2 linked regions of the Struthio camelus genome follow. The protein of the gene in region 2 purifies or fractionates together with the protein of the main gene of each other region. This does not show direct contact. Links are inferred from orthologs where the notes say so. Each region holds a gene or a part of one and is shown on either strand. Other genes may lie near its edges.

Region 1 (7,997 bases), on a different chromosome or scaffold from region 2:
ATGTTGACTTGCATCCTTGTGGTAGAAGTCTCCATAGTATAAGGGATGTATGCTGTCTCTAGCATCCTGAATGGCAGCGTATTCACAGCAGTAGTTAAGACAATTAAATGTAGTTTTAAAATGTCAGCATTACAAAGCAAATTAACGAATACGTCAAACTGAACTGTGAGATAAAAAATAGGCGTATGCTGGAAACGGCAGTAGTTTATACAACGTCTGAACCTAATGATTCCTGTTCTGAATGACGTAGGAAGTTGAGGATGCAGATGGTGATCTTGCTGATGAAGAAGAAGGATCATCCCAGCAGCCCCAGGCCAGCGTCCTCTATGAAGATTTGCTCATGTCAGATGGAGAGGATGATGATGATGGGAGTGATGAAGAAGGAGATAATCCTTTCTCATGTAGGTTTCCCTTTTTATATAACAAGGTTGAATAGGAACTAGTTGTTCACAAACCCAGCAACTTTCTTGTCCTTCCATCACAAAAACATAACGGGATTATTGGGATTAATTAATAATTAGTCAATTAATAATTGGGATACATAGGCCAAGTGGTCTGGCAGTCACAAAGGAAAAGAGACCAAAAGGACAAGATGAAAAAACTGGATGGGCAGAGATTACCAAAAGCACACAATTTTGTTGATGGGAAACCATGTGATCAATGTTATTATCAAGAGCTGGAAGAGGAGTTTGAAGGCTCTTCAGATTGTTTCCCTCTCTTTCTAAAGACGTGTCCATGCAGAAAAGCATGCGGTGATATTTAGAGATGGCTTCAGAAAATTATTATGGGGGGGGGGGGAGTTAGAATCAAGAAAGAAAAGAGGTGGTAGAAGTACTTGAGTAGAAGAATTAGATTTTTTTTTTTTTGAATAACATCAGAAATGGCTACTCAGTAAGTGATACCAGGTACCCTTTCTGCTGCATTTTGGAAACTACTTCCTATACATTCCTTACGGTCAATATTGTGTCCTTTTAACAAATAAAGACAGTATGTATGTCACTGAGAGAACAAAACTGTTGATTTATGAACAAGTGTTGGCTTATTGCACAGCTATCCAACTGAGTGAGAGCGGCAGCGATTCAGATGTGGAGTCCAGTGCAGTGAGACCCAAACAACCTCATGTTCTTCAAGAGAATACACGAATGGGCATGGACAATGAAGAAAGTATGATGTCTTATGAAGGAGATGGTGGGGAGACATCTCATGTCATGGAGGACAGTAATATCAGGTAATTAGAGCAAAGAATGTTGTTAAAATATTTCTTTCTTCAGAACAAAGTCCCTTCTGTTAGAGATTTCTGAAGTGTTTATGACAAAGAGCTGGAGAATGTCTCATGTTCTTGTTAAGTTACTCTGTTACTGGTTTTAGTGTTGCACCTGTAATTGCAACTTACTTTTGAAGTTCTTGTTGACAGGAATTTGGTTTTGCTTTTAGACCATCGCTAATGAAAAATATTTGTTAAAATAATAAAATTAAGAATCACTTTTTCTTGCAAGTTAAATAACTTACTGTGCATAGTATTTTTTGAAGGCAAGGAAAATGAACCTTGTTTTAGATGGTCTCAGAAATTAGTAAGTGCCTTTGAAGCTAAAAGATAATATAGCTGATTAACGTCAAGCTGTTTTTCTTTGAGAGTAATAATTTCCTTCCTTGGAAGAAAATTGCTTGCTTGAAGTCCAAAAGAACAGCAAAGAATAGGAATATGTATATTGTGTATCTTGGAATGAGTTCCATTATTAGAAAATGGCAAGTACAGCAATAGTAGCTTTATTTTCTGCACTGATTTGAGAAAATACTGATCTACTTTTCCTTCTCCGGCCATTCTGTAGAGAGTTAGCATTAGATTCTCTGTTCTTTTTTTTTTTTTTTTTAATTGAAAGAACTCACTTCCATAATGTTGTTATTGGTATTTGCCTAATAAATTATTTTACAGGCCAGCTGTCATAATAGAGATAAGACCTGCCCATAAGAGTAGTTACGCTGGATTAGGCAAATGGTCCATCCAGCCCAGTACCTTGGCAATAGCCAATAGTAGATGCTAGAGAAGCGGATGAGAATGGGCTGTGCTCTCGTTGGAATTGCTGTGCTGTCTGCCTTTCCCATCTCCAGTAAAGGTGACAGATGGAAGGTGCTGGAACAAGTAGAGAACTCCGATTTTTTTTTTTTTTTGCCCTGAGTATTTCAGATTGGGTTGAGGATGTTGATAGATAACTATTTCATCGGGAGAGCTGTTTCTTAGTTAACAAAACTGGTCACTGATCAAATTGAATTGCACAATGTTTCAAAGTGTTTCACAGCACTTCCACTCAGGGACATTTTACAGGAGTAAAAATGTTACAGACAGAATATCTGATGCCAACAACTGATTTGAAATAGTAGTATAAGAAGAGTATATTCTTTCTTCCAGCTATGGCAGCTATGAAGAACCAGACCCAAAATCCAACACAAGAGATACTAGTTTCAGCAGTATTGGAGGGTATGAAATCTCAGAAGAGGAGGAAGAGGAGGAAGAGCAGCGTTGTGGGCCGAGCGTACTAAGTCAGGTCCATCTGTCTGAGGACGAGGAAGACAGTGAGGATTTTCATTCCATTGCAGGAGACAGTGACTTGGACTCAGATGAATAAACTTCTCGGGAAGCTCCCTTTCCCTGAGACGGCAGTCATCTTGGGCTACTCTTGGCTCATGAACTACTAACATCCCAGCTGGGTATAAGAAACAACATGGTGCAGTCTGTGTTAATACGAAACAGCTTTTTTTTTTTTAATAGTAGTTTTTATTGTTCTAAAACTTGTTACGTGACTGAGTAAATAGTGAAAAATAAGCTTTAGAGAAACATGCCCAGCTGAAGTACTGGGCTGGTGTGATCTTCACTAGTTCTAGAATCCAGCTGAAGACCTTTAATGGTTTGTTCTTCCTTCTTTATAGATGTAATTTCTCAAAAATAGTAGCTTGTTGGATTCATGCATTTCTGCCAGGGAGAGATGGTTGCTCAGAGTACAATGTCTGCAGTTGTTTTGATATCAAAACAATTGTAAAATAAGAACTTTCCCTTTATGAAATGACAGTTACCTGGGAACAGAGTATGAATGCATTCTCTCCTGACTACTGTCTACCTTGAATGTGTCAGTGAACAGCTGCCCTATTGGTTTTTTTTTTTTTTTTAAGCTGCGATTGGCCACAGAAAACAAAATTTGCTAGTTGGAGTCTTCAGGAATTTTCAGGCTGCTTGTATCCTGGGTGTGAGATTCCTTATGTTTAGTCAAGTGAGAAGAAAGCACAGACTTTGGTACTGTACTTACTGGTTAAATTAATTGTAAATAAAACTCAGGATGGTTTGAAGATGGGCTCCTGCTGTGCTCGTGCGTCCCCGAGGTCCCCCCCCGCTCTCGGGCTACCTCCCAGCGGCGCTTTCCGGGCGGAGTCCGGCCGCTCCCCTCCCCTCCCCTCCCCCGCCCCCGGCGGCCCCGGGCTGTCCCGGCAGGCCCCGCGCGCCGCCGGCACCCGGATGTGCCCGCGGACTCCATGTGCGGGCAGAGCGGCGCGAGGGGAGGGCGGGCGCGCAGGCGCAGTTCCTCCCCGTTTGTCGCAATGGCTTCGCGCGGAAGGATACGCGCATTGACAAAGCCGTCGCCGCCCCTCGCCCGAAGCCGCCGAAGGCGGAGCGTGGCGGAAGGAGACGCATCCAGGTCCGGCAGAGATTTCTCCGCCGCGCAGGGGCCCGCCCGGCGCCGCTCTCTCGCGCCGCCCGGACTATTTCGTGAGCGGAGATAGGTCCGGCAGCGGCCATTCGGCTGTGTGCTGCCTCCGCTGCCGCCAGCGCCATTTCGGGAGCCGCCGCCTTAGCGTGCCGGGAGCGTGGGGAGCTCGGTCCTGCTCCGCGTGCCCCAGCCTAGCGGCCCCCTGCGTGCCCGCGGCCGTTCTGCTGCCTCCGCCCGAGCCCCGCCGGCCTCCCTTCGCGATGGCGACCTCCGTGGGGAACGTAGCTGACAGCACAGGTACTGCGGCCTGCCGCGCGGGGACGGGCTCGGGGGCGCGCCGGCAGGCCGGGCCCCGCCGCCGCCGCCGCCCTGCGGGGGCCGGGCGCTGCCCTTGCCCGCGGGGCCAGCCGGAGCCCGAGCGCCGCGCTCCCCGCTCCCGGCGGAACTTTCCAGAAGCGGCGGCGGCTCCCGGCGCGGCCCCCGCCGCCGTTGTTCGCGTGTCGGTTCGGCTCGCGGCGCCGCCGGGCGGGCCCGGTCGCGGCGCGAGGCCCCGGCTCTGCCGCCAGCCGCAGGGAGCCGGCCCGTGCCGCGGCTGCCCGGCGGCTGCGTAGGAAAACGCTCCTCCAGGAGGCCGAGATGATTAGTTCTGAGGGGGGGTGGTTTCTTATGTCTATATTTATCTGGCAATTAGGTTTTTACAGAGGACGCAAAAGGATGAAAGCCTGACCTAAAACGTAAATTGATTTTTCCAGAATTTCTCTCGCTATATTTAACCAGGAGGTCGCTCCTGGAATAGCATAGCAGGGCAACTTTTTCTGGCTAGAAGGACAGCGTGCTCTTGCTGAGAAAGGTGCTCTCTTCAGTTTACAGATCTAGAACGCGGGGGCGGAGGGACAAAATCCCCCTTCCTGCCTTCAGGGCAAGGAGAAGGCCCTGCATCCCGGAAGGATGAACAGAAAACACAGCTTTTTCCGCTAGAGTTTTTTGGGGCCTTCTGTTACCAGAGAGCAACGAAGGGTCTGAAAAGGTGAAACAGGATGATGGAAAAGTAGGGAAACAAGGTTATACAGGGAAAGAGACGCGCTACTGGTAGGAGTGACGCAAAGGGAAGCGGGAGTGGTACAAAGGTGGAGATGGAGAGAGGGCAACTAGCTTCTGTACGGCATTGCTGATAACGCCTTCCACCTCAGCCAGAACCACTCACCTCCTCCCCTGATCTGCAGCATCCTCTCGGGGCCTTGAGCTGTGGAGGTGACAAGGACGTGTATGGGGAGGGGAGCGTTCCCTGTTCCTTGCCACCACCACCTCCCGTGTGGAGGTGGCAACTATTCCTGTCTGCGCCTAGATTTTATCCAAATGCAAAGCTGGGTGCGAGCGCACATGAAGTGCTTGGCTTGCTATTTCTGGAGAATTTTTGTCTTGTGTACGGTTGTGGTATTTCTGCACGGGCTTTTTGTTTTGTGTGCGTTCTCTAAAAGTATCAGGAAAGGTCATTGTTGTAGCACATGCTATGCTTTTCCAAGGTCGTAATTAAGGCACATAGTACATGCTGGCATAGGTACGCAAGTTCATGTAATACAGCAGGTGAATGTTTATAAGACTTGGTAAGGGATTCTTTTGGCTATAACTCTTTCACTGGCGTTGTTTTTTTTTTAAATGGATTCTGTGAGCAACTGTGAGTGGCAGTATTATGGATTCCTTGGATAACGTGATTCTCTTCTGTAGTAGCCCTAGTAAACGTTGAGCTCGTTTTGAAGCCTGCGGTAGTTGTCCACTTGCACTTTCCTACCTGCTTGTGAAGAGGATTGCTGCTAAAATGTGTCTTGGGAGAGATGGCTGACTGTCTTACTGCAAGTGACTAGTTTGCTTTATCTCAGTTGGTAGGGTTTGTTTTGTAAGGGGACTTCATAGATGAAAGAAATCTTAGTGTTTCACTCGTTTTGTTGTTCTCATTAACAATTTTTATTCATGGGTTTTATATGAAATTTTCTATTTTTAAAATGAATTTTATGAAATTTTCTTTTTTTTTTTTTTCATTTTCTCTCTGTTGCCCCTACAACTGTAACTTCAGTTTCAGTTTTCTGTTTTGCTTAAATAGGCAAAGCATAGTATGTAGGTAAGTTAGAAGGTTCCTTCCAAGTGGTGATAAGAATTTAAGTCTAAGTTTTTGTGGGGTTTTTTGTTTATTTGTTTTGTGTTAGCATTCGAATTTAATAATACCCTTGGAGTTTATTTGAAGAAATGATTGAATTAGGTCCACGGAGCATGCACTAGTTTCCCCCTTTTTGCACTGTCAGCAGAACTTGAAAATACAGCAGCTGTCAGATGAGCTAAACCTGTGTGACTGTTAACAACAGAAGGTAGGCAAGGAACAGCATGTTTGTACTTCAGTATTCTTACTTGTCAGCCACTTCAAATTTTGGTAAATGATGCTGTCATTTTCACGTTAAATAACGCTTGTACATGTTTACTGTCAGTAGGTTTAACCAGATGCAGAAGTCCACGTTTTCCATAGGCTGGGTTTGGAAAGGTCTTAAGCTAGGCTCCTTGAAAAAAGGACTTAATCTGTGTGAAGATACTTGATTAGTATTTTGTGACGTCTTTGGAAGTGAGTAGTCGTGCTAGTTTCAGTGAAGCCAGAACCGGTTAAAGTTTTCAACACCGACAGAGACAATGCATCTGGAATAACAGCTTTAGTTACCTCCTGTAGTGTTTGCGGTCTTCAAAACCCAGCAGTGCTAAAAAGCTCTCTTTAAAAGAACTTAAATGGCTTCCATCAATCTCAAGTCCGTTAAACACTAGATAATAACTCTGTGCCTAATCTCCTCGTGATTATTTTTCTATTGCATTAGCAAATTTCCTTGTATTAGGAAGGATTTACCTGTGCTTCGTTGTATCAAAAATGTAAAACTCTATGTCTTGGTGGGAAATGTTTAATAAGCGAGTTTAAAAGTGACTGCAGGACTGAAGAAGGGCAAATAAGAGACATTTGCAGTAGTTGAAACATATTTTTATACTTTTAATAAGTAATTTTATATCGTAAGTATAAAATAAAAAGACAATTTGAGGGCAGATCCTTCTTTTTAGGATGAACGTTTTTTTTTTTCCCCCAAGATGCGCTTACCATATCTATCTTCTAGGATAGAACTGTACTTTGTAAGACAACTTACTTTTCACAAAAAAGGTTGTTAATCTAAAACAGGTGATATTTTACTCAAGTTTTTTGTTCTCTGTGAATATGTTGTTAACAGTAAAAGCACTTTGTCACTCCAGTTCCAGCTCGACACCCAGAATTAGCGAATCCTTTTCTGTATCCTGTGCTTTGTAAAGACTGCTTCTGTGGGCCAACAGCATAAAAATCACAGCTATCGTTCTGAGACCAAAATTGATTTTGATGGGAGAATTTTTACTCATTATAGATAATACAGCCTGATAACAGAGGTTGGAAGAAATGTTGTGTGTTACACTTGTATTTATTTATTTATTCATTCATTTTTGTTACGGGCTTTCACGTGCTACAAATCTACTGCTACAGCAAAACTTTTTTTTTTTTTTGAGTCCTTTGAAGTTTTTGTCTGCTGTCCTCTTCATTTCTCAATTAATGGTTTTTAGAACTTGTCTTTAATACTATGAAGTATAAGACTTACAGTTGGGGAAAAGTCAACAGATTCATTGTTTTGTTACTAGCACTTTTAGTGTTATGAACCAAAGTACAATATTATTTTGGGAATGTTGTCAGATATTTTTCAGGTTATTGGAAAATGATTGACTTGTAATGACTCTCTGTGTTTATACGCTTATTATTAACTGATGAGGTTATGGACTATTATACCCATCATGTTAGAAGTGTCATAACTATAGATTGAGGTATGAAGATCTGAGAGTTTTAAATGTCACATGCCGTAGTACTTTATGTAATTTCAAGCATTTTCATCCTTTAGTTTTGCACATCTTTTTTTTTTTGCTTAAACATTTTTTTGTTTTGTTTCCATTATCTAACTTTTTGTTTTCCCCCCTTAAATGTTTTGGTGATTCTCCAGAACCAACGAAACGTATGCTTTCCTTCCAAGGGTTAGCGGAGTTGGCTCATCGTGAATATCAGGCAGGAGACTTTGAAGCAGCAGAGAGACACTGCATGCAACTTTGGAGACAAGAGCCTGATAATACTGGTGTGCTTTTATTACTGTCGTCCATTCACTTCCAGTGTCGCAGACTGGACAGGTAGGAGACCTGAGGTGTCCTGTCAAGCTTTACTTGTAGTTTGCACCTCTCGTAACATTGAGCACAGCTGACAAAAGT
Region 2 (7,997 bases):
CGATTTTGCCTTTACTTTACTGCATTATCTTGTTTGACGTAGCACTTGAGCACCACATCGGATCACACGTGCTGCAGCACCAGTGTCAGAGGTGGCATGCCTTTCCACTTTATTTAAGTGGATAGAAGTGACCCATACAGGTCTCCACAGCAAGAGAGAAAGAGGCTTCATATCACAAGAGCTGCCACAAGAAGCAGCACAGCAATTTACAGTATAACGACAGCATTGATACTCAATGGACAGCTGTGTCTTCAAGGAATTCATTGCAACATGTTCATATTTATTTGCTTACCCAAATGCGCTCTCTCACTAAAATTCTTCACCCTCCACAGCCAAAAAAAAAAAAAAGTCAGTTTAACTCAACAGAAAATCAGCACAAAAAAGAAAAAAAGGTGCCAGTATCTTGATCTCATCAACAGGTAGCATGAAATTTTGCTTTTTCAGTTTTAGGATATCCTGGCCAAAGAGCATTTATAAAGAGACAGACTCCTGCGACAGCTCTCAGTCCGTATTCACTCAACTCCTAAGCCTCAATGTTTTGAAGCTGCACAGCAGAAAAATATTTTGTCAAGTCACACTTGGGGACTTCCCACGAAAAAACAAATACCAAATTTCTTCAAACTTGGCACATGACAGTGTATGCTTTCTCCACACACGAAGCACAAGGACGGCTTGTCTGTGGCTTACGTCCAGCAACAGCATTTCTTGCCCTGATTTAAGCAGGCCGCTAACACCATGGCAGCCTGCAAGTTACAGGGCGCTGCCACGTATCAGAGCAGAAAGGTGCGCAGGGCGCTCTGCTGTTCTACTGATCCTTTCCCGCTTTAGGGGGCTGGATCACGAGGACCGTACCGAACAGAAGCAAGAGGAAGATCAACTCAAATACCTCAGGAACCAAAAAGAAAGCGCAGAACTTCTCTGCTGCATAGCGCAAGCCTTGTTACCACGTCCATGAGCGCAGACATAACATTACGTACCAGCCCCCTTCAACCACAAGCACTGTGAACATCAGTTCACATATGATAACGATGCATATCCAAAGCAAGTACTACTGCATTTGTTCTCATGTCCGAACCAGCTGTGACAAACATCGGTTACAGACGTCTTAGAACCGCTGGAGCCGCACAGCCACAGCTACACCAGCTAGCTAAACGCTGCCAGGGCACAGCGCGGGCGCTATCTCAGCCATCCACACCGCTAAGGTCCCTGCCACAGACTTAGCTGTGAGGTTACGAGCTGAGCCCAGACAGAGTTCCCAGTACAGTCCAAAAATTAGCACAGGCCTGTGCTAACGAATGCAGGCATTGTATTATGAACGCTAGAAATTTAACGGTATGGACATACATAAACTCCGCAAGGTCGTCTCAGGGCAAGAAAACAAGCCCTGAAGCTGTTAAGTTTACCAATATAGACATAATTTATGTATTCTAAGTCTTCAGCAGAACATATAGTTCAATACAGAGCTGAGCATAGAACCAAGTTAATGTTGCTATACCATCTCTCTTCTCTAGACACACTGTCCCATTGGTGTCTTCCTACAGTTTGGTTGCTGTTTCTGAAGAGCGTAGCCCAGTGCATTTCTCAAACTTGTTTACTATATAGTACCAGCTTCTTACCTTCATGAAGCGTTTTATTTTAACTGCAAGGATACCCAGCCATTGTCCCAAGAAAAGCCACAAGTTAATAGTGATCTGCAGCTGCGCATTTGCTGAATGAGCCAGGAAATAAGAAAAAAAAAAGGTTGTTTATCAACAGCAACTTCCTCCCTGAATGTACTGCCCTCACAAGGCTCTCTTTCCGTATTTTACGCTATAATTCTGCTCCAACTTATATTCCTAGACATACAAGAACAAGAATAGCTTGAGTCCTACTGAATCAGTCTTATCCATCTACCTACCATCTATCCTAGGTCTTTTTTTTTTTTTTTTTTAAAAGAAACAGAAAGACCATTTTTCTGTTGGTTAACATCCGATTTCAGACTAACACTGCATTTTCACAACAGTTGATTTCAAGGTGATACTATCTTGACAATTCCCCACAATCCCCCATGTTCCCACCACCTCTCTTGCACTGGCAAATACCTGATTCCAGATAACTGATTATGAAGACCAAGCTGGCATAAAGCCAATCCAGAACCATAGCAATAGTTTTCTGCTGTTTTAGCTCCCTGAACCACCTACAAGCACCAGCGGTGATGCAAAAGACACAGCAAGGAGGCGGACGTGGGAGAGAACCACCACAGAAACATCAACTTTGATGACCCTGAGCTGCTGTTCAGTAACCACTATGGTGCAGCATGACAGGATAGCTAGTTTTATGGTTTGCCAGCAGCAAAAAATGCGACCCCCAAGCCCCTAGCCCTCCAGCTGCCATGATTACTTTTGACTATCAGGGCTCACTCCACTCCATAGTGAGCTAGCACAGAGCACTAAACTAGCAAAGAAGTAACTTCACAAAAAAGTGCAGAGATGCAACACTCCACCGAATACAACCGGAAGACTTTCCAAGTTTGAGACAAGTTTTACCGTTCATGAGGAATGCCTGAGAGTTGCCACACTTCTTAATGCAGTTTATAACATACCCTATGAACTTCAAGCACTGGTAGCTGAAATGGCAATACGATTCTTGTCCTAGTTTGTGTACTCAAAAGACAGTATTTCCAAAAAAAACACAGGGGAACTTTTTGAAGACAGAACAGAACTGGAGTTTGACTAAAACATTTTAACATTCCCACTGAAGATACAAATAGCAGTATTTGCCAAAACAGAGGGTTTTGGCAAGCATTCAGTCATCTTCTCCTAGTTTTTGGCTACCCTTGCCATGAAGCTACCTAAGATACCATAAAACCTTCAGCTTTGATACTTTTCATTGCAGCATTTCTAAATATCTATTTTAGCACTGAAGGGGATTTTAAAACAGATCAGTGGATACAGTATGAACAGCGATGCACATAGGCAGATAAAATGATCTGGTCACACAGACACCCTATACATGAAATTCTTCTATTCTACTTTGGAAATAAGTTTTAGAAGATACACAAAAAAGATACACAAAGAAACCAAAATGTCCACTTGGGGGATGCATCCTATATTCTTAAAACAGTTAACTGCACCATATCCTTAGATGAAGAGCAACTATTTTGATGCCTTTCAAACTGTAAATACCAGGCCCAAACAAATTACTATTCACAAATAAAGTTAGCGCTTGCAAGTCTCAACCGCAGATGCCTATTTACATTTGCTTTCTAGCCAGACTTTTCAAGTCCTGTTTTAACAGACACCTCTTCCAGAATGCTTATGATATAACCATAACTCCTCCTCCTCCTATTAAGGAGATTTGAATCTTCACTAGAAATGCAGATATTTTACAAGCACATGGTGTACTTTCACAATTCAACACTTCTGTTCCACTCCTCCTGCAGCAGCACGCACTTGTTCATTTTTCTCTCTCTCCAGGCTTCTCCTACTACTAAAGTTCCCTTTTCGTTTATCCATTCTCAAACATGCATGCCCCAGGTAGAAAATACAAGTAAAGTCTGTCTTGAAAGTGGTATAGTAACAAAGACTACTAGACTTGGGAATCAGAAGATAAAAAAAATCCTCCTTCTAGGGTGAATCACTGTATGACATGAGGCAATTCACTTGCCCCTACTGCAACAAGTTCTCCTGTATGAAAGACACTAGTATACTGAGAATACTGAAAATCATAGTACATATCACTTGTTTTGTAATATTATTTAAAAATCTTACCGTTCACAGCATTTTGTAAACATGAAGAAGCAATTCCTCCCTTAAGAGTTCCCTACCTAAATTTGTGTCTAGAAACACTAAGCAACTGGAAAACAGGTCAAAATTTTAAAAAGCCCCATCCAAACGCAAAGCATTAGGACAAAGTTGCAGGCAGAGACAGACTAACAGTCCGCGCAGACTCTGCAGTGTTGCGTTTCTATTTGAAAAGCTTCATATTTTACCAGGCTGTCTTTTCAGACCCACCTGCTGCCAGACACTGAGGCTCTATTGACCTTTCTGCTGAAATCGGGGCTGCCCACGGCAGGTGATGCAGGGCTTCAAGGCGGACTAGGAACAGAGCCTGACCCATGGCAAAGCCACTGGCATTGAAGCTGATGCCTGCGCATGAGCAAGACTTGACAGCTTTGGAAAGGAAAATGAGCATTCCTAGGTCGTCCTGTAAGGGCTGTGGTTTGCTATAACATACTAATTTAAAAGTCGGCTCAAAAACGCGTCCCAGCTCAGACCGCGGCAGGTCCGGCCCGCGCCTCCCCGCTGAGCCCCCAGCGTGCCAAGGCCCCCGCAGGAGGCGGCCTCGCACCCCGCCGGCCCCCCAGCCCCAACCGGGGACGCCGGGCACCGTCAGGACCGCCTGGGCGGCTCTTTACCCTCGGGGACCGGCCGCCACGGCGGCAGGGAGCGACAGGAGCGGCCGCCCCCCGGAGGAGGGAGCCCGCATGACCCGGAGCAGCCGGGAGGCCTCTGACCCGCCCCAGCGGCCTCCAGGCCCCGCCGGACACCCCCCCCCCCCCCCCTCCTCCTCCTCCCCGCTCCCGCCTGCCTCGGCCTCCGCCGCCTCCCGCCGCGCTCGGCCTCCACGTACCGTCCGGGCGGCCTCTGCCCAGGTCCTGCCCTTCTTCCTGCGGCCCTTCTCCCTCATGTCGGACGCGGCGGGGCGTAGCTGGCTCCGAGGTTCCCGGGCGCTCCTCCCGCTCGCAGCGGGGAGGCAGGAGGGGGAGGCGGGGGGTGCCGGGAAGAGGAGGGCGGCGGAGGAGGAGGGCGGGCGGGCGGGCGGGCGAGCGGCCCTAAGTCCGAGCGCTCCCAGCGCCGACTCCCCCCGCGGCCGCCGCCGCTGCCATATTGGGATCCTACTGTAAAGGGCCGCGGTCATGTGACCGCCCACCCGCGTGACTCCTCCTACTGTACGGGCCGCCGGGAGAGGCGGGGCCGGCCGCCGGCGAGCCCCGCCCTCTCTCCCGCGCCTGCGCTCTCGCCCCGCCGCCGCTGCCAAAGGGCGCTGCCCGCCCCCCGCCCCGGGGCGGCCGCCGGCGCGCACGCGCACGGGGCCCGGCCCCGCCCCACCCCTCCGCCAGGCGCGCAGGCGCCTTCGAGGCGATCGCTTGCGTGAGGGGGCCGCGCCGCGCGTGACAGGCGGTCCGCTCGCCGCCGGCTCCGCTCCTCTCCCGGTCACCAGCGAGCGCAGCGCCCTTCCCCTCGCTGCCAGCGACCCCCGGCTCCGCTTCCCCTACAGCCGCCGGCGTCCCGCAGCTCCGCTTCCGCCGCCAACCGCCGCCAGCGACCGCCGGCTCCCCTCCCCCACAGCCGCCAACGACCGCCGGCTCCCCTCCCCCACAGCCGCCAACCGCCGCCAGCGACCGCCGGCTCCCCTCCCCCACAGCCGCCAGCGACCGCCGGCTCCCCTCCCCCACAGCCGCCAACCGCCGCCAGCGACCGCCGGCTCCCCTCCCCCACAGCCGCCAGCGACCGCCGGCTCCCCTCCCCCACAGCCGCCAACCGCCGCCAATGACCGCCGGCTCCCCTCCCCCACAGCCGCCAACCGCCGCCAACGACCCCCTCAACTCCCCTTCCCACAGCCGCCAGCGACCGCCGGCTCCCCTCCCCCACAACCGCCAACCGCCGCCAACGACCCCCCCCAACTCCCCCTCCCACAGCCGCCAACCGCCGCCAGCGACCGCCGGCTCTCCTCCCCCACAGCCACCAACTGCCGCCAACGACCCTCTCAACTCCCCCCTCCACTGCCGCCAACAACCTCTCAACCCCTCGCCCGCAGCCGTCAACGATCCCTTCACCCCCCCCCCCGCACAGCCACCCACCTACACCAACGACACCCCCCCCCAACAGGCACCAACTGCCGCCAACGACCCCCGGCTCCCCTCCCCCACAGCCACCAAGTGCCATCAGTTTCCCTCCCCCGCAGCTGCCAACTGCCATCAGCTACAGTCAGGGACCCCCACCCCACACCCACCCGTGGTCCCCACAGTCCTCTGCCGGCACCCTCAAGCCCCTGCTCCCCTGTGCTTGCCCTTAGCAGCTGTCACACAGTGCCCACCAGGTCCCCCCCACACACCCTGTCACAACCTCTACCCTCTTCTCTCTCCCCACAGCCACCAACGGCCACCAAGTGGCAACCGGCTCCCTTCCTCCTGCCAACCACTGCCCCACGCCCACCTTCACCCTCCTCCCTAGAGTCACCAAGTGCCAACACTGAGACCATCCCTTCTTCCAACGGTTACCAGCCGGCAGCCGGCTGCCACCCGCTACCTTCTCTCCTCCTCATGGCCACCAAATGCCGATAAGGGCCATCCACCACCCTCCATTGCCACTCACTGACCACTCAGTCCCTCTTCCTTTGTGCCCCTGGCCATCGCCTGACGACTGGCCACACTCTCCCCACAGCTGCTGCCACGGGGCTATGGCCAGCTCTCCCTAAGCGCTGCCAGCCATGTCCTGACTCGCCTGTTTCCCTTCTAGCTGCTGCCCAGGGCCACCTTCTCTCCTCCCCACCAGTTGATGCTAATGACCAGCCGGCACTTTATCACTGGTTTTCCTTCTCTGTTGCACACTGCTGCTCATTTCCCTCCCCCCCCTGCTGCTGCTAACCACTACCTGACCATACACTTCCTTTCCCTCCAGAGCTACCAAGCGTCTCCCAACAGCTAACCACGTGCCTCCCACTCAGTGCAGGCAGCCACCACTTAATTACCATCACTGTTCCTTTCCCCAGTGCCACTAACTACAGTCTAAACAACTTTCCCCGTGCTCTGTTATCAACCTCCCCCCACACCCCTCCACTCACGTGGCAATTAACCAGCATCTGAGGTACCATCTAACTCTCACTGTGAACTCTACCAACAGCAACAGCCCACACACTTCCATTCACGTGGCTACTACTTTTCCTGCTATCTGCCACTGAGTAGTAAGTAGTTCCCTTTGCTCCCTCCCGCAGCTTCCCACAGCTGTAATGCAGCTAGCTGCCTTCCCAACTAACCTCCTACCACACTAGCACTGCTATTACCTACTCCATCCACATACTGCCACGAGAGACTGTCACAAATGTTGCTCCTTCCCCTCCTTCACCACTGCTCCATATGCTAGCTATTCTCTTTTCAGCACAGCTGTTTCCCCATCCCACCTCTTCCTCCAATGTGGCAATTCACTACCATCTTCTCCCAACCCATACAAGGCCATTTCTACCCTCAGAAGTCACAGGGGCTCCAAGGTGACGCTCCCAGCCCACACTGACTTCTGATTTTATCTCTGCCTTCTTTCCTATTACAGAAGATATCACTCAAACCACTCTCTTTCTTATAGGACCGGACAGAAAAACTAATTATCATGCTATCCGAAAGCCAGCCTTTGTTAACATATATGCAAAGTACTTACCTCTGTGCAGCATCTCAAATGGTTGTTCTTTCAGTATCATGGTTTCATAGAGAAATGAGCAGCTTCTTGCAATATGCAGCATCATATGTTCCTGTTTCTATGAGAAGAGAATGTGGAAAATTGTAGTATATGTCTGTGTGAGAAAGCCTCCGTCAGCATGCCAGAAATAAAAGAAAGTTAAGGCCCATATTCTCAAAGGTATTTGGATATGTAACATTCATAACACCCTAAGAAGTTTTAAGCTTATATAAAAAGGTTATACAATGAAACCAAAGCAGCGTAACAGGTATAAATGTGCAGGCATAAATGATCATATAAAACGATGAATTAAGGGTCAGCTAAAGTGAGTAAGTTTGGATTATAAACCAGAACAGTCTTTGAAGAAAGTCACTGATCAGAGAGGCTGTGAAAGAGGTAAGCAAATCCAGGATCTAGGACTAACCACCATTTTTTTCCCCTAAGCAACTCTCAAGCTGACTCCTAGAATTACAGCTTGCTTATTTTTCTAAAGCGTAATGTGGTATATGCTCCAAACTGTGATCTTAGAGTGGCCCTCAGGATTTATTTTATGCGTCATGAAGTCAT

What was found.
Region 1: the proteins of ASXL2 (region 2) and OGT purify together in Homo sapiens (affinity purification with mass spectrometry; 3 studies listed by BioGRID and IntAct, with this or other methods). This does not show direct contact. The link is inferred for Struthio camelus from reciprocal best matches to the Homo sapiens genes ASXL2 and OGT.

Annotation. Positions count from the first base shown.
Region 1 is NC_090952.1:25,819,888-25,827,884, forward strand, and holds the start of OGT (UDP-N-acetylglucosamine--peptide N-acetylglucosaminyltransferase 110 kDa subunit), read left to right. Parts: upstream 1-3,668; 5' UTR 3,669-3,958; coding exon 3,959-3,995; intron 3,996-7,738; coding exon 7,739-7,919; intron 7,920-7,997. Other genes in the region: TAF1 (transcription initiation factor TFIID subunit 1), read left to right, coding at 251-401, 1,051-1,228, 2,408-2,624. UniProt on the Homo sapiens protein: Catalyzes the transfer of a single N-acetylglucosamine from UDP-GlcNAc to a serine or threonine residue in cytoplasmic and nuclear proteins resulting in their modification with a beta-linked N-acetylglucosamine (O-GlcNAc).
Region 2 is NC_090944.1:1,666,768-1,674,764, forward strand, and holds the start of ASXL2 (putative Polycomb group protein ASXL2), read right to left. Parts: upstream 4,874-7,997; 5' UTR 4,669-4,873; coding exon 4,612-4,668; intron 1-4,611.